Linked DNA regions of Drosophila melanogaster. The protein of the gene in region 1 interacts with the protein of each later gene in a pairwise test. Each region holds a gene or a part of one and is shown in the gene's direction. Other genes may lie near its edges.

Region 1 (4,452 bases):
GAAGACCACGCAGCCTGAAAGCTTTGAATCTCCCAAAGTTGGATGTTGCTCCATGTTTTTTTTTTTTTTTGGAAGAGATGATCTTCCATTTAACAGATTTCACTTCTCATATTCATATTCAATTATGCCACATAGTAGTTCAATCCAATTCAATTGCAGGCATATTGCCGGGCTCACTTGCTCCTGTGCCCGCTTAGGGCTGGCTAATCCTTCTGATAAATGGTCCGGGCTTTGGATGAGATGCAGTGGCTCGTTTTTTAGCGCGCGCAGAGATGTTGGAAATTTTTAGAAAGGCAAACACAAACAAGGCATTAAGTGGCATTAGACAAATGCCTTTCTACACATGTTCCAGCGTAGAGATTACGCCGTGTAATTGGCCCCACCTCCATTCGCCCGGGGTGGGTTCCGGTTTTCGATTGACATTTGGCCACGGCTGCGGGGTGGGCTACTGCTCTGCTCTGCTCTGCTCCTTCTACAATTTTTTTTTTTTTTTTTGTTCTTTCTTTTTATCAATTGCCTTGTTTGCGCTGGGACCATAAATAAGGGCATTACTCGCAGGGGGCGTGCGCGTTTTCCTAACAGGTGTCTATCGACTCCTGGCTAATCCCATGCCCATGCCCATGCCCAGCTCCCTGACATCGAGTTCCTTACTTACTCGTTCGTTGCAGTTCGAAGGCCGATTCCAGTCGAAGCGTCTCAACAACTGGGAATATCCGCGATTCTCACCACCCCGCCCACGTGGTCTGCAGAAGAACGCCAAGGTTGTGGCGGCCAATAACGGTCACCTGCTGCCCGAAGTGATAAAGTAAGCAATTGCCAATGCCCCACAATTATACAGTTTAATTTTAATCCACAGGGAGGGCAACTCATTTGGCCAATATCGTGGAACCTACGAGCTACCGCGTCGAATAACCCGTGCCTTTTGCGCCCACTACGATGCCTGTCTGAGTGGGCGGTACAAGTTTGTTGACTTTCCGCGTGACCTGTGCAATTGTCAGCGAGAGAACCGCAGGGCACTGGCCTGCGATCAGCGGTTGACCTTGGGCCACAAGGACGATCCCTACTGGATGCGCGAACGGTGCCAGACGAAGTGCGAGGGACTACAGAAGCTGAGGGCGTTGAGCGAGCGGAGTGCGCGCTGCAATCGGGCCAAGTGCGACGTGGTGGTGAGTGGGAATCGGGGTCACCATCGGGGTCACCATCGGTGTCACCTCTTACCAATTATGTGCACCCAGATTATTGAGTTATCTGCAACCAAGCTATACATATTTTCATTTCTGGTTGCACTTTTTGCACTTTCATCCTGCACCCTGCACACTCACATTCACATTCACCTGCAACCGTAGAGCGAGAAAACCGTGAAGATGACGCCGAAGGCAATCAAGACGACGGGTGTGGCCACCGAAAAGCGGCGTCGAAAGCGCACCATAACCGCCTTTTCCAAAGGACGAACGGCATTGCATCCCAATGAGCTGACCAAGCCGATTCCATCGTCGGAGAAACCGGCGGCGACTGTCGCCACTCCCAAGGACAAGCCGAAGGACAAGCCAAAGGACAAGGAGGCGGGCAAGAAGGATAAGACGAAGGATAAGGGCAAGGAGAAAGAGCGCAAGGCGGCGAAGGGCCATTAGTAAAACTTCATTATTTTGTTCAACCGAAATTCAAATCAAATTCATTGTAACCGCAGGTTTAAAATACATTTTAAAGGGCAGCACGATTGCACTCAACACAAATCATATAGCATATATATTTTATAACTAAACCCAGGTTAAACCATCTGTTACATATGTACATAAATCATACATCATTATCATCTCCATCTCCATCTCCATCTTATCTCATCCCATTCCATTCTGCACCACCAACGCATTGCAACAAGTGAACGAACCTGAAAGCCACCTACTCCATTACTCCATCCAATCATGTCGCAAACAGCTCTCCCGGAACTGAGCTACACGCCGGGCGACCTAACAGAGCCGCAGTTCCGGCTGCCCTCGCACCAGGAGCTCCTCGACCAGAAACGCAACAGCACGGACAGCGTGCCACTTGGTCGTCTCACCTTGGACACGCGCGACACGCAGCCCATCAAGTACAGGGAGCAGCTGGGCTCGGCGGCCGGTCGTCAATTTCCGGCATTGGCAGCGGCCCAAAATCGCTATACGGATCACTTGGAGCGCAGCAGCGAGTTGAGCTTTGCGTGCCTGGAGCCGGGCAAGGATCTAATCTCATTGCCGACGGTGGGTATACGAAGCTTTGATCTCGATCCCGTATCCGTATCCGAACCCGATTTGATCAAGAAGATGCCGCTGCACTCGATCACGGAGAAGCCCAACGAGCGGTGTCCATCGCCAGTGGTGCCGGCATATGCCAATTTCGAGCTGGCCAAACGGATGCACCAGGACAATTTGGACCACCAGCCGCTGCCCGATTGCGTCGCCGATTTGGCATTCCGGCGAGCGCAAATATCCGGCGGACATGCTGGCCTGGCCCTGGAAATCGATCCCATTGCCACGGGCGTGGGTGTGAAAACGCACAATGCTGGTCCGACGCACTGCACCAAGATGAAGGTCTTTCGTCCGAAGACCGGCGGTGGCATCGTGCCACGTGCCCTCGGCAATGGCGATGCCTTTCGAGGTGTTGGCTCCGCTCCGGCCAAAAAGATGGGACCCATGGATTTGGCCATTTGTTGGGACTTCAAGCCGGCGAATCCATCGGATGAGCCGCGCCTGGCCAGGCACATAGATGGCTCCAATGACTCCGCTGGACCGGCTGTCTTCACCTGCGTGAAAACGCCTCGCGAGGAACAGTCCTCGGACTTGGGCCGATCGGCTGGCGTCTTCACCAGCACGCTTGGTGAGGCCGATTTCTTCGACAAGGACATCCTGAGGAAGCGAACGGATTTTGGCGGTGCCCGTGTGGATCGCGAGGATCCGTGCGCCTGCGACTACTCGCCACCGGCCAGACAAAGAGCACGCAGTGTCTCCCGCGATTCCAGTGCATCGCATTGCAGGCGAGGATCGGGCATCGGCGGTCCAACTGGCGGTGTGAGTTTCGGCAATTTGGCGGAGCTACCCGGTCGCGGGATGCCCGATCGTCTAGCCAAGCAGTATCAATCGTCACCCCTGCTGGGCGACAAAGCCTACCAGGCTTTGAGGGAGAAATATTTGGGTCCGGACTCTGGACAGGATTGCAGGGCCATGGATTGCCGGCCAACGGGTGGTCCACCATGCAAGCGAGACGTTCTCCTCCGGCGTCCAGCTCGACGTCTCTGCCACAAGGTGGCTCCAGCTCCCAGATGCTGTCCCCCATCGTTCGGCGGACATGGTCATCACCATGGACATGGACACGGACACGGACATTGCTTGACCAGTAAGGCGGCATTTCGCGCCGGAGTGCCCAAGCATAATGCCTCCGGTGATTTCGTGGGAATAGAACCGGGCTGCGGAGGAGGTGGCGGTGGCGGTGGTAGGGTTCTGGTGGTGCCACGCCCCCGGCAGCCGTATGCCAAAAAGAATTACGACATCGAAACCCTGGTGCCGCCCTTCCAAAGCCAAGCGGGCGGAGCGGGTCAGGGCGGCTATCCAGAGCACTGGCGATTGGCCAGTGTCTATCAGCACGCCTACAAGCCCATCGACCAGCGGCGGCGACCCCTTCTCCAAACTGTCTACAAGTAGGTGTGCTCCAGGATGGCAGTCCGCTCAAGAGAGAAATGTCCGGACAAACGGGATAATGAATAATTGAAAGCTATACAAAAATGTCCATAAGCTAAGCAAGTATATTAACTTATCAACTTAAATGTTTGCTAGTCATTAGCATTAAATTGATGCATCTGTACACACAAATTAGTCGGAAAAATCGGTCCAAGAATAGGAAATCACACGTTTATGTATAAAAAAACAAATGTTATATATATTAGAAAGCATATATATATATATATATAAAGATATATGGGCAAACATACATACATACATATATGAATAAACGTGCAAACATCAAGTAACTTAAAACTATAAACAGTGTGCAAATTAATTTGCAGAGTTCGCTTGAAAAATTAAGAAAAAAAACTTGATTAAAAACTAGGTGATGATGTGGTTTTCAGATGAAATAAGGTTTCCTTTCCTTTTTTCGCTGGTCTTGTGTGACAATCTTTGGGTGCAATTAAAAACTTAACTAGGTGCTGAAAAATCGAATTGAAAAGAAGTCAATTGGGTCAATTCAACAAGGGGAAGGCGCATTTCAAAAATAATAACAAATAAATTTAAATGCTTTCGGTTACAGAAATGCCATTTGAAATCCCCTAAAAATCGACGCACCAATTGAATCTGTGGAGCCAACCTGCTCACTTGGCGGTTGCATAGGCATCGTGACTCTTGTGGAACACATGGCGCAGCACGTCCCGCGTGGACCGCCTAATGCTGTTCCGCAGTGAGTGCTTCTTCTCGTTGGTCAGCT
Region 2 (4,488 bases), on another chromosome or scaffold:
AACTACGAACACAAAAGAAGTCATACAATCGTTAAATGACTACTTCAGAGCATACAGTAGGCCTAAGTGTATCATATCAGATAGAGGAGCATGTTTCACGTCTGGCGATTTTGACTCATTTTTGAAAGAATGCAATGTTAAACACATAAAAATTGCAACAGGATCGCCACAAGCCAACGGTCAAGTTGAACGTATAAACCGAAGTCTTGGTCCAATGATTAGCAAGTTAATTGAACCTGATCAAGGTCTACACTGGGACTTAGTCTTAGAAAAGGTCGAATATACCCTGAACAATACACTACACCGCAGCATTAAACAGTATCCTAGCATAATGTTATTTGGGTTACAACAAAAAGGACAAATTATGGATGAGTTAAAAGAAAAAATTGAGGAAATTGGAGAAACGATTGAAGAAAGAGATTTAGAAAGTATTAGAAATAAAGGCGAGGCAAGTCAGAAAATAGCACAAGCATACAATAAAGAATATGTTGACAAAAAACGAAAACGATCAGGAGTGTTCACAAAAGGCGACTACGTCATGGTTAAAAATTTTGACTCAACAACAGGCATAGCTAAGAAGTTAATTCCAAAGCATAAAGGACCCTATGTCATAAGCAAAGTTCTCAAAAATGATCGCTTCCTTCTGGAAGATGTTGATGGATTTCAAATTTCTCGCAATCCTTACCGGGGTGTATGGAGCATACAGAATATAAAACACTGGCAAAGAAAAATTAAGAGTCTACAAAATAGAAAGTATAATTTGAGAAACTCTGTACAAAATAGAAAGTATAATTTGAGAAACTCTGTACAAAATAGAAAGTATAATTTAAGAAACTCTGTACGAAATCGAAAGTATAATTTAAGAAGCAATTGTAAAACAAAGAAAACAAACAAGAAGAAAAGAAAACCAAAAAAATGTTTAAGACCGTTCAAAAGTATCTCCACTAAGAAGAATAAAATAAGAAACAGGACCCTTAGCTTTAAGAAACGTTAATTGTTATAAAATCCTACGATCGGGAGATCTAGTAGTCAGGACGGCCGAGTTGTAGTAGGCTGCTCCTTCTACCCTCTTCCTTTACTCTTAGTCATACATACCTAATTATACATAGCCAATCTAGTCATAAGCTTATACACTCATACACCCATCCTTAACATACAAATATTATCGAGAAACTTATCGACTAATCGACTCGCCACTCTGCAGAGAGCGCGGCAGTCAGTCGCTGTTGAACCAAGCTAAAGGACAGATCAAAAATAAAAGAGACACGTGAAATTGTATTAGAATATTAACTTCTGTAAACGGCGGCTAAAGTATAGTATAGTATATTCTAGTATGGTATCGTATAATATAGCATAGTTATAGGTAACAAAATGATACAAAAAAATAATAATAATATTCAAAGAGACATGACGAAGAGCTCAGTTGACGCAGAAATCGTTCAGCAATTCATTTATTGGTCCGAACTCCGAATTAAGATATTCGATGAGATTGGGAGTTCGGTCTGTAGATGACTATTCCAGCGTTTCTCAGATGTTCGAGAACCGTCAATGGCGCTGAGATCTTGGAGATCTTGGCGTGACATATGCAATTCCCTTATCAATCCGATGCGATACCACCGCCACCACAGGAGTCTGTTCTTCTGCGAAATAGGCAATTCCGATGTTATTGCCGTGTAATTTACATGCGGCCCCGCTATCGTACATCAGTAAATCAAAAATCGAAGAACGAAAAATCAGCGCTATCTTGGAGTTCTGATTGAGATAGCGTGTGCATTTTGGAAATTGTTTTTCGCCGAACAAAACCGAGCAGAATGGCCTTTGCATATTTAAGAGCTCCAGCCTCCGAAGGTGCAGTATCATTTGAGTTGTGAGTGCCGCCAAGATCGCAGCGGGGCGTTCGAGAAACCAGGATACAAGTTAACCAAAGGATATAAAACATGAATAGAGGTAAACTAAAGTGGGACGCCAGCTGAACATTGACAGTGATGGATTTCGTTTGAAAGAATTGCTCTTTAAAAATGTACATATAAATTAAATTCAAACATTAAGTTTTTAAGTTGATAGGGCTTTCTGGCAGAAGGGTAATTTTCGTACCAGCTATCGTAGTTTAAATTTAAAAATTGACTCACATGTTTGGGGTTAATAAATGGTAAAGCACACTGGATATGCCATCCTGTTCCTGACACAATGTTCCCACGATTTTCGATTTTACTTGCAGCTAGCGGTGTCCTGTCGCTGCTGTTTGTGGCCAGCGCCCTGGGCGGCGTGATCGAGGACTTTGAATACCTATCGGTGGCCGAGATGTGCGACCTGCTGCCGCAGGAGACAAGCTTCCTGCGACCGAATACCTGCGACAACTGGGTGCGGTGCGCCAGCAACTACAGCGTGCTGGAGCAGGGCGGCTGTGCCGCAGGACTCAACTACAACAAGGAGCTAGGCCGCTGCATCCTGGCATCCTCCAGCGCCGCGGTGTGTCCCTATGCCGACAGCATTGCGGACAAGGCCACGAACCTGTGCGCCAACGAAACGGAAGGCGCCTTCATCGTGGATCCCAGCAGCAGCGATTGTCGCGGCTACATCTTGTGCAAGTCGCACAAGCAGATCAAGGCCAACTGTCCCAACGAGCTGATCTTCCATCCCGTATCGAGGTCTTGCGTGTACGAAAAGCAGTACCGTTGCCCCATCAGCCAGACGAAGAAGACCAGTCCCGCCTGCCGATCCCTGCCGAACAACACCCGTCTGGCCGATCCCGTCCACTGTGACCAGTACTACGAGTGCGTCAGCGAGGTCTTGCACAGCCGAGCCTGTCCAGTGGCCAGTGCCTACGATGCTAATCTCGGCTACTGCGTGGATGTGGCTGAGGTGTCCTGCTACGAGAGTGCCGCCCTGCCGGAACCGGAAAACACCTTCTGCCTGGACAGTGCCACCGGATCCGCTCGCGTTGGCTACTTTGCCGACGACGAGTCCTGCTCCCACTACTATATCTGTGGCAGCCCCGTCGCCGGCAAGCACGACACGGAGCCCAAGCACCTGAGCTGTCCACTTGGCCAGTACTTCGACTTCGAGAAGCTCTCGTGCCGCGACAGACTTAACGTACGCTGCCAGCTGGACAGGTGTGTGGGCACCAACATCACCTACGTAAACGTCGCCGGCGATTGCCAGAGCTATGGACGTTGCTCCGGCGGAGTGACCGTCAGCCTGGGCCAGTGCCCAACGGGCTACTACTTCGACGAGCGCAACCAGGGATGCACACAGACCAACTACCACAACATCGCATGTTCCGTGTAGGCTGTCCCAGAAGATCGCATCCTTACCACAATCCTTACCAAATCGCATCCAATTTAAATATCCAATAAATCGATCCAATTCATGGTGGAGGTCAAATGCATTGCTTGAAAGGAATTCATGTACTTTGTGGTGGGAAGTGTTAAGTTTTATGACATTCATCCATTTACTTTTTACCATGGAAATGGGTCTACAAATATTAGCTTCTCGAAAAATGTCCAATAAATGTGTTACTCCATTGAAACCTGAAATGTATATATATATAGTTTATCCATTGCATTTGGCTCTATTGTAGTTTTATTCCCTTTCCATTCGAATTTTACCGTCTGCTTCCTCTTTATAGAAGATGTTACCCTAACCTTGAACAATAAAATATGAATTGGTATAAATAATGCTAGAGAAATACTATGATTTTTTGGACTGATTTTTGAACTACATTGGCGGAAATGTTCATTAGCGAAACGAAGTTGGCGTGATAAAATTCTTCTGGCAACCCTTTTGATATCAAAACTGCGCCACACAACGATTCATATTTGGCAATCTGTTTTCGTGACACTTGCAGTGCCCAAAAAATTATCAGTTTTAATTAAAATTGTACCCCAGTGGAGGGTTCGGAGAATTTCAAACCGATTCCAGATAGTCCAGATAATGAATTCGCTACTCGGAGCTGCCGCGATCGCTTATTTCCGTGTTGGCCATCAGGCGAGCAAGAAGTATCCAACGCCCAAGGGTCGTTTTTGTCTATCACTAATTAAATTCAACTATTAGGGTCGATGTTACCCATTAGGTCCACAAATATTGTATGAGTGTGAAATGCAAATGAAATGCATCGACGCGCTTTCGTTCTCCATAGAAATCAATTATGTCCACTTTAAGAAGGAAGTTATACAAGTCCACAGGGCGGATGATTGATTTGTATGTAGGAAAGGTCAAGTATTCAAATGACAAACGGGGCAACTTTGCAGCCTCGCTATAATGTATTAGTATTTATTGATCATAACAAATAACGATAACAAATTCCGAAAAACTCAATAATATAAGTTATCTTGTTATGACACCTCATAGACATATGTACATGTACATATATGGTGCCTAATGAATAAAGTGGTTTGAATAATCAACTTTGTAGTACGATAACTTCGTACTTTTCCATTCAAATCTCCTATTGCAGTTGTTAAAAACGGTGATATCACCCATGTATGG
Region 3 (5,175 bases), on another chromosome or scaffold:
CATCCAGCTGAATGTTGCACTCTAGGCGCACTCGATCTCCATTCGTTGGGATGAAGTTCATCTCGATATTGTCTAGCTCGACGGTCAGCTGTCCGTATTCCGTTTCGACGTCTATGGAAGATGCCAGACGCTGGCTAATCAGACCCAAAACGCTCCTTGTTTCGGTGTTAAAGAATGTCGGCTTTTCGTTCTTCAGGTTGTCTACAGCTTTTTCAATCTAATAGAAGTTAGGATTACAGATATTAAGCATTGGCTTTAACAAATGGCTAATAAATCTAATACCGATGAGCTTACCTCCTTTTGGCTTGTGTCCTCCCAGGAATGCTCAAGGATACTCTTCACCTTGACCACCCGCATGGCTTCCCCCGTTGTAAAAGTCAAATATTCCACTACACATCCGACGTGTAGATCCAAGATGATATCCTCTGCCACCTTCGTTTCGAATAAAACGTCTTTGTCGATGACTCCCCGATCGCCGTCTAGACTGGTGATCACTCCCTTTCTGGCGGTGCAGGAACTTTCTTTACTCACGTCCATTTCCGAAAGTCCATGCGTAAGCTCAGCGATCTTGTTACTTAAAACCCCATTAATTTCGTTTGGATTCGCCTTAAGCTGTTGATCCATCTTCTCCTCCATTAGTTTTTGGTCTAAAAAGCTATTCTCCCGATCCAAACTTTCCAGAATATCCTCCCGGTTACGATCCGGGTTCGTGAAAAACTTGCTAACGTATGTGAACATTTTTGAAAATGTTTCGCCGATAAATGCTCTGCCGTTCCTACTGCGCTGCTTTCTTGTCGAGACTCTCGTACATCCAGTCGGTTTCGCTGAGATAGCTCAATTCCTTGCGCAGATTCTGCAGACGCTTCAAGTGGTTCTCCGTCGTCTCCGCCGCCTTCCCGCCCTCGGTGGTTTCGCTCTGCGATTCCGCCTTGTCAGCTCCGATCTCGGGTTTCTTAGCCTGGAAATGTGGACCATCTGTATTGTAAACATTTGAGAACATACAATGTTACCTTCTATGACACCGAAGGCTTAAATATCCTACAATTTTCATTTAACAACATTTTGTTGTTTTACTTCTACGGACAATTTTTGAAATATTTAGAGAATATTTATTTATAAATTTAAATGTATTTATAAGAGCATATATAAAATAAAAAAATTAACATTTGTATACATTTTCTGTATGTTTTGTAACGGAAAATTAAAAACTTTGTGTTAGGGTTCTTGAATTCAATAGTGATTTGTTTTTTAGTCTAGGCTGTTAAAATAACTGCAAAAAAGCAACAGTTTGAATGGAGAAAAAGCAAACGAAAGTCTCAAGAAAAGCGACAGCAACAGTTACTCCTGCACTGCTTTCGTCTCCTTCTACCACGCCAAAACAAGGATGGCAACAACAACAAACTCATACCTCTGTTTCACTGGATTCAACGGGAATATTGGTGGCCGTACCGCTTGTAGATGCTTCTTCTTTGATGGTTATACTTCCGGATGCTTCGCTGGACATTGTCCAATCACGCGGATTTACCTTGGTTATCAAGCTGTGGACCAAATATGTGAGTTCCTTACCGGCTTTTTGCAAATGCACAGCCGGATTTGCTATTTGTACTCGTACTTACAAATATTCTTAACGCTGTTGAATTAGTAGATGCACTGCACTTTGAGTTTTAAGAGTTCAATGGGAAATAGTCATAGTATTCGAAAAAACTCTCGAGCAAAATTTTGAGCACAAAGCGTCTTGGCGAACTTTTAAGTGTGACCGGACTTAGCGGCGTAGAAAATATCCTTGGCTGTGGTATTTTCTTAAAGTGTGTCAAATTAAAGCGGTGGAATATGAAACGTGAGGAAGTTGCTTATGTATTTATATTTTCCTTATTTAAAAAAAGTTCTCAAAAATAAAATGAAACAAAAATGTAAAGTAAAGAACTCAAGAAAGTATATAAAATATCGGCAGTCCACATTTAAGTTTTTGTTTTTGGAATTTACCTCCTCACAAAAATAATACACACGAAGAACTTGTTCTTATTCTTTTATCTTTTTTTCAAGAGTACCTGTTAGTTATCTGTCACTTACATTTAAGAAATAAGCAATCAAATTCCAAAATATGCCAAATATCTTTCCGCAATCCGGAAAGTTTTTCGAGTATATGTGTAAAAAAGTCCATAGATGGTTTCTTTCTCCATAAATACCCTAGTGATCGATATTATTTAAGAGTATGTTCAATACTTTTCGCAGTTGAAATAATTTACCAATTAGGAAAACCAATAAAACCAACTGCCCTATGTCTGATGAGTAAGAAACTGAGCACCAGAGGCGATAAATGGTTCCCGTAAACAGCGCACGCCAGCGCCGAGGCCGCGATTCTATTGAAAAAGGTGTATATATATTTAATATATCTTTATGTACAACTATAGACTCAAAACAAAAATACCCCGCTCAACTGGATATTACAGGGTATAATCGATAACCTTAGCTCAGCCATTGTGATTTTCAGCAATCCACTCGCACGGTCACACTGCCTGTCCAACCCTCCCGCACCGTACTACTCGACAACGTGCTTGTGTGCAGAATTTCCTCGGCTAAATAAAACCAAAAATTGGCAAAGCGCCGTGTCAGATCTAGCCGTCGATTGCACAATTCCGGAGCAGGACGTCGTCGCTGGAGCCACCGAAGCGGAGTCACCATCAGAAGATCACCAGCACCAGGAGAACCCAGTGGACAGTCCTCCTCTTTTTCTTGGCTGCCGAGGCGTCGCGTGTGCGTATCTTTCAGCGGTGAATAACCCACGGCTTTTTGTTTTCGGCCAGAGGAGGAGCGTGTTGCAGTCGCAAACGGGAAGATGGTTAAAGCTAAAAAGGGCAAGAAAGAGATACTGACCAAGGTCGAAGGCGGTTCCTCGGTGGACGAAATGTGAGTCTTGTGCAAGTTCATGCCCACCTGCCAACTTGGCAAACTTTCTATCGCAAATTATTCAATCTTACAGCTCCGATGTGGACAGCGACCAGTTGAGCCTCAACAACAAGCAGAATCATGCCCTGAAGGGCAATCAAGCTGGCGATGACGATGTTAAAGCCGTGACCAAGGGGGTCAAGAAGCTTAATGTCAAGGGAAAAGGCAAAGCAGGCAAAAATGACGACTCCGATGAGGAGGAGGTGGTGCCCGCCAAGGGCAAAGCTTCTAAGAAGTCGGCTTTTGAGCTGCTAATGGACGACGACGAGCAGGACGAGCCAGCTGCCCAGGAAAGCCAGTCTGAGAAGGAGGAAAAGGTAGTGGTCTCCAAGCCACAGAAGAACGAAAAGAAGGGCAAAAAGGCCAAACGCAAGGGGAAGGACGACGACGATGAAGATCTGGACAAGGTTTTAGCTGAGCTTCAAGCGGAATACGCCGGCGAGGCTGCTCCTGCTGCCACTACTGTTGTTTCCCCCGAAGAATTGGCCGATGAGTTCTCCAAGAAAAAAAAGAACAAGAAGCAGGCCAAGCAGGCTGCAGTGGCAGAAAACGCCGGAGAGGATGAGGCCAGCGATGACGAGGAGGGCGGCAGCACTGTGAAGTCGGCAGCCCAGAAAAAGAAGGAAAAGAAGGAGCGCCAAAAGAGGGAGGCTGCCCTAGCCAAGCAAAAGGCAGCTACTGAACCCAAACCGAAGCCCGTGGAGAAACCTGCGCCAGAACCCGAGCCTGTGGCTACGGAAGAAGTCCAGCCCGCCGCCGAGGAAGAGGAGGAAAAGTCCAGCAAAAACAAGAAGAAGGGCAAGAAAGACAAAAAGGCCGAGCCTGAGGAGGAGAAGAAGGACGCCAAGAAGAAGGGTATGTCTGCCTCCATGGTGGCGGCCATGCAGGAGCAGCTAAGAAAGCGAAAGGAGGAGGAGGAGCGCCTGGAGCGGGAGGAGGCAGAGCGAATTCGCCTGGAGGATGAGCGCGAAGAAGCCCGCCTGGAGGCAGTGCGTCTGGAGGCAGAGAGGAAGGAGAAAAAGAAGCAGCGCGAGGCAGAGCGCAAGGCTCGCTTGAAGGCGGAAGGAAAACTGCTCACCAAGAAGCAGAAGGAGGATAGGGCTAGGGCACAGGCTCTCCTGGAGTCTCTAAAGGCTCAGGGTCTCGAGATTCCCGATCCGAACGACAAGCGACCCACGCGGCCAGGTATGTAAATGGCTTTCTTCCTAAATTTGTATGCCACGACCTCAGTTTTGTATTGCCTTGTAACATTATTAGCTTATTATCTCAACTAACTGATTCATGTCTTTCAGGAACTCGTATCCGTCCGAACAAAAAGAAGGGCCCTAAGGAAGAGGCCGCCGAAGAGGAGGCCAAGGCAGCGGAAGCGGAAGCCCAATCGGCCGCCGCTGCTGCCGCTGCAGCTGCTGCCGAAAAGGCCGAGGAAGAGAGGGTCAAGGAGAGTTGGGATGCCACCGATAGTGAGGCTGAGCCAGAGCCCGAGGAAGAAACGTCGCAGGCCACTAACAATGGCAAGACCGAGGCTGCCGAGGAAGAGAACGAAGATACAGATGACGATGAAGATGACGACGATGATGAAGATGACAGCGATGACTCCGATGGGGATAGTGACGATTCCCGTGAAGTATCGGTGTTGGCCAATGATCCAGAGTCACGACGACTGCGTGCGGAAGCCAGAATCCTAAAACGGCAAGCAGAGGCGGAAAAGAAGCGCTCCACCGACGAACTCAGAGCTGGAGTGGTTTGCGTGCTGGGTCATGTAGATACAGGAAAAACCAAGATCCTGGACAAACTGCGGCGCACACACGTTCAGGATTCCGAAGCGGGTGGCATCACTCAGCAGATTGGAGCCACAAACGTTCCCATCGAAGCAATTAAGGAGCAGACTAAGTACGTAAAGGCGGCCGCTGGATTTGAACATCGCTTGCCTGGTCTATTGATCATCGACACACCCGGCCACGAGTCCTTCAGCAACCTTAGGAACCGAGGATCATCCCTCTGCGACATAGCCATCCTGGTGGTGGACATTATGCACGGCTTGGAGCCACAAACCATCGAGTCCATTCAGCTGCTCAAGAAGAAGAAATGTCCGTTCATTGTGGCCCTGAACAAGATCGATCGTTTGTACGATTGGAAGCAGTTGGCCAGACGGGATGTGAGGGATGTTCTCAAGGAGCAGCAGAGCAACACACAGCTGGAGTTTCAGCAGCGCACAAAGGACGTGATCCT
Region 4 (3,966 bases), 4.6 Mb from region 1:
TAAGTTCATTAGAGGGGCTGATGCAATTTTGCAGTTATAACTATGACTTCATACTTTGCTTTTTAGCAAGTCCAGAGATCAGCTGGGAATATATATTGTACATATATACTAAATTATTTTAGAATCAAGTTCACTGACCCCAAACGGTTATTTCGGAAGTTTAGGAACAAATGTAAATTTTGTTTTAACTTCATTTTATAGTGTAACATAAAAAATCATCGCCCAAAACCGGCTGGGGTTAAGGGCCGCTTAGAACTTTCAGATTCCAAAAACCATAGATTATTCAGCCTACTTATTAGAAGTTGTTGACTGCGTCCCAAAAAAATCTAGATATTAGAATGCTTTCGGCTGGTAAGTCAATTAGTCCGTCGTCTAATAGGCTTTGCGGCTTAATGGAACGCTTTTTGCCTCATTGTGTTACCCCTTTTCTTTGCGTATACGTAATATGAGTGCTGGAAATATCCGGCATACCCCGATGCTACCCCCTCTTTCGACCAACAAACTGACCATGAATATTTTCGCTTTTGTTTGCCGACCATATAAACACGTTTTCGATTGTTTCGCCGTTTTCTTTTCTTTCCATTTATTGCCTTTTTAACTGGGTTGGATTTTGCATTCCCCGATTTTCTGCTTAATTTTCACGCCAAATGAAAAGCGTGAGAACCGCGAACATACATAATATTCATTAGCGAATTATAGATTGGGTTTGGTTTTCAGTTCTAAATTTTCAGACTTCGCAAATTAAATGCGAATAAATAAATATTTAAGCAATCAATCCAGATGCCACTTGCATATTAATTGTATTGTTTTTCGTTGTATTTTGTTTGCCATCTGAGAGAGAAAGAGAGATTTCCAAGTGGCCTACAATCGCGATGATAATGATACTGAAAATGATGATCGTGATAATGATGTCGCAGAGCAACTTTCTCAGTTTATTTTTTTTCCCCCTATTAGCATCACAATTAAATGTTTTTTATTAATTTCGTAGCGCGAAACTGAAAATTAGTATTGGCGATATGCGCCGATATTATATAAGTGAGAATATCGATTAGGTATGAATGAACACGGTAATTTCCCCGATAATTTCGATAGCTGCGAACAGATCAGGTCGCTTTCATTATTCAATTTGTATTAACTTTCGTTCGTTGTTGTCGTCTGGCTGGCGGCTAGAAAAATGTATGCATCGCATTTCAATAATAATGAAAACAAAAGTTAAAACAAATAAAACAACCGCTAGTTTCGGTGCGATGGAGAAAGGGCGAGGAGGGGGGCTAGTGTGGATAGAGCGGGATAGTGAGATTCCGTCGAACGGTGATTGCAAGAAAATGACATTTTACAGTTGCCCCCAAACACCCTACACTCACCTGCGTTTTGGAGCATCTCGGTTTTATGACACCGTTGGCAGCGCTCCATCGAAAAACCTAGAACTACAAAGTATTACTCATACATTCGCGAATTAATAATCCTTTTTATATCATACATTATGATATCCTTATTATATAAGGCATTATTGTTAATAATTATATAAAAATATGGAATATTATGATCACTCTTTTCTTTAGGATATCAGTACTAGGGTCCAGTGCAGAGACGTCAGAAACTGATAAAAATTCGAAGATATTTATTAATTTTTTTTAGAAAGAAACGCATGATGCAGAGTGGGAGATTCCACGCTGCGTAACAGAATGGAAACTTTATATTAATTTTATCAATTTACAAGAACTCATGCAGATAGCTTGTATGCAAGTTCTTTAAAGATTAACAAATTAATCGGAGAATAAAAATATTAGTAACATAATGAATAAGGTAATAATGGCAAAAAGAAATCCATTATTAATTTGCTAAAAGAAAGGTATACACGCACAAAGGGCATTTGAAGGTCGGCGCAGGGCAAGGTGTCATCCATTTCACCCGAGGGCTCCGTAGGTCAAGATGCTTGTCGTCGCCAGCATTGGCTGTTGTATATAAATTTTGACAAAAGAAAGACTTCGGTTTAAACCAATTTTGGCAAGGCGGCGACCATAAGGTGATGACCACTCGACGCGACGACATGGCATGGATTAGCGGCCGTTCCCACCTGCTGGTGCCTGTGATCTTGGTGCTGTTAATACCGTTGGTCGCGGGCTTCGGCAACGAGTATGTCCACATCAAGGTGCATGTGCCCAAAGAGGAGTCAGCGGCGGAGGAGTCGCCACACAAGGTGATCCACCACTACCACCACCATCCGCATCCGCATCAGTTATACCGCAATCGGGGACGAGCCCGTCCCAAGCCCAGTCCACTGCTGGAGAGCGTAATCCTCTCGGATCTGGACAAGCCGCTGCACATGAGCGAGCATGCGGACTATCTGAATCACGCCAAGGAGCTGGCCGACCACCTCACGGAGACGTATGCCAAAAAGGCAGCTCCTCCGCCGCCGCCGCCGCCCAAGAAGAAGGTCAACACTTATACGATCATTGAGGAGCAGCACAGACCACATGGCTACGACTACGAGGATCACCATGAGCCCAGTGTGGAGACTTATCGAGTGATTGAATCGCGACCCAAGCAGCAGCACCATCATCACACTCATACTCACCATCCGGTTGAGGAGGAGGAGGTGGACGACGATTATGGATATCACTATCCGAGCGGGGGAAATCATCATCATCATCATCATCATCAGACTGGCGCCTATGCGGAACCCGCACCAGTGGAGGAGCACATCGACCAGGAGCCGGATACGGGCTATAAGTATTCGCCACACAGTCACGCCTACATCCCGCCCAGCCACGGTCAGGCCCAGCGGAGCTCCAAGCAAACCAGAGCGCCAGCGTACACTCTCGAAGCTCCGCAGGAATCCTCCTTCGGATACGATTACTCGCGACCCTCGGCCGGAAGTAGCACTGACTTCCGGCCATCCGTCCAGGTGCCATCCAGTGACCCGTACGGCGAGGAGGAACCGGCGGACACCTATGGACCACCGCTTACGGCCACAAGGCGTCGCCGGCCATCGCAATCCCTGGTGGATTGGCCCGAGTCCAAGGGATTCAACAGTGCCGCGTCCGAAACATACAGTGGCGTCGATAGCTACAACGTGGGTCATGTTCAGGGCTATGGATCCAGTAGCTATCACCAGTACAGTGGTGGGCCCTATCTGTAGGCGTTCCAACACCCCGTCTAATCTAAGATCTATTTATTGCACTTTTTTTTTCCTAGCTTCGTAAGTCGATAGTCAGTTTTCAGATTTAAGCGATAAATAAATAAATGTTTGTAAACACTTAAAGAAATGTTATTCAATTTCTAGGAATCAAGTTGTTAGAAGTAATAAACAAAAGGTTAACTTATTTGTTTATTTATTTATTTGTTTCAACTCAATCCTAGCAGTTGGAAAGCACCAAGACCACTTGAAAATTATAATGTAATAAAAACGCAAATTTGAATAGTTGAAGTAATAAAAAAAAGAGACTGTCTAATTAGTATGCATATTATGATCTTGAATTCTCAAATTAGTTTATTTAAACACTAAAATCTAATATTCTAATGGTGCAAGAGTAAAATGCACTCATTTTTGTTATTGACTTCAACTTTGGATACCAACCGGTTCACTTGGCAATGGGAATTTAAGTATACTACTTAGTGCAATTATCCTAAGTCTTGATTCTATCTATAAAACGTATAATATATTTACATTCTGATTATTTATTATTATTTCAAATACGGAAATCGTGTTTGGTACATTCATACATGGACTACTGTTCTCAGTGTTTTTGAGGAAGTCAGTTAGGCTAATGGATTTCTCAGTTGTTTGTTGGCCCATTTAAAGGGAGATCCGCCGCAAGGATAAGGCCTGTCCATCCATAAGGGTTTCACTTCCGAGCAGTCAACGATGAGCGGCCATCTGGGTCGGGTCCTGCAGTTCCACCTGCGGCTCTACCAGGTGCTCGGCTTCCATGGGCTGCCGTTGCCGGGCGATGGGAATCCGGC

What was found.
Region 2: the proteins of CG3081 (region 1) and CG7017 interact in a two-hybrid assay, tested with the Drosophila melanogaster proteins (one large-scale study listed by BioGRID).
Region 3: the proteins of CG3081 (region 1) and eIF5B interact in a two-hybrid assay, tested with the Drosophila melanogaster proteins (one large-scale study listed by BioGRID).
Region 4: the proteins of CG3081 (region 1) and CG15370 interact in a two-hybrid assay, tested with the Drosophila melanogaster proteins (one large-scale study listed by BioGRID).

The regions. Positions count from the first base shown.
Region 1 is NC_004354.4:4,638,547-4,642,998, reverse strand, and holds CG3081 (uncharacterized protein), read left to right. Parts: upstream 1-1,836; 5' UTR 1,837-1,922; coding exon 1,923-3,674; 3' UTR 3,675-3,740; downstream 3,741-4,452. Other genes in the region: CG3062 (uncharacterized protein), read left to right, coding at 669-805, 857-1,166, 1,347-1,631; pon (partner of numb), read right to left, coding at 4,340-4,452.
Region 2 is NT_037436.4:20,209,483-20,213,970, reverse strand, and holds CG7017 (uncharacterized protein), read left to right. Parts: upstream 1-1,848; 5' UTR 1,849-1,937; coding exon 1,938-1,947; intron 1,948-2,218; coding exon 2,219-3,288; 3' UTR 3,289-3,679; downstream 3,680-4,488.
Region 3 is NT_037436.4:3,457,904-3,463,078, reverse strand, and holds the start of eIF5B (eukaryotic translation initiation factor 5B), read left to right. Parts: upstream 1-2,101; 5' UTR 2,102-2,372; intron 2,373-2,450; 5' UTR 2,451-2,836; coding exon 2,837-2,907; intron 2,908-2,980; coding exon 2,981-4,131; intron 4,132-4,238; coding exon 4,239-5,175. Other genes in the region: armi (armitage), read right to left, coding at 1-217, 295-738; CG46463 (uncharacterized protein), read right to left, coding at 776-958, 1,409-1,504.
Region 4 is NC_004354.4:9,223,427-9,227,392, forward strand, and holds CG15370 (uncharacterized protein), read left to right. Parts: upstream 1-2,010; 5' UTR 2,011-2,029; coding exon 2,030-3,142; 3' UTR 3,143-3,262; downstream 3,263-3,966. Other genes in the region: Gr8a (gustatory receptor 8a), read left to right, coding at 3,869-3,966.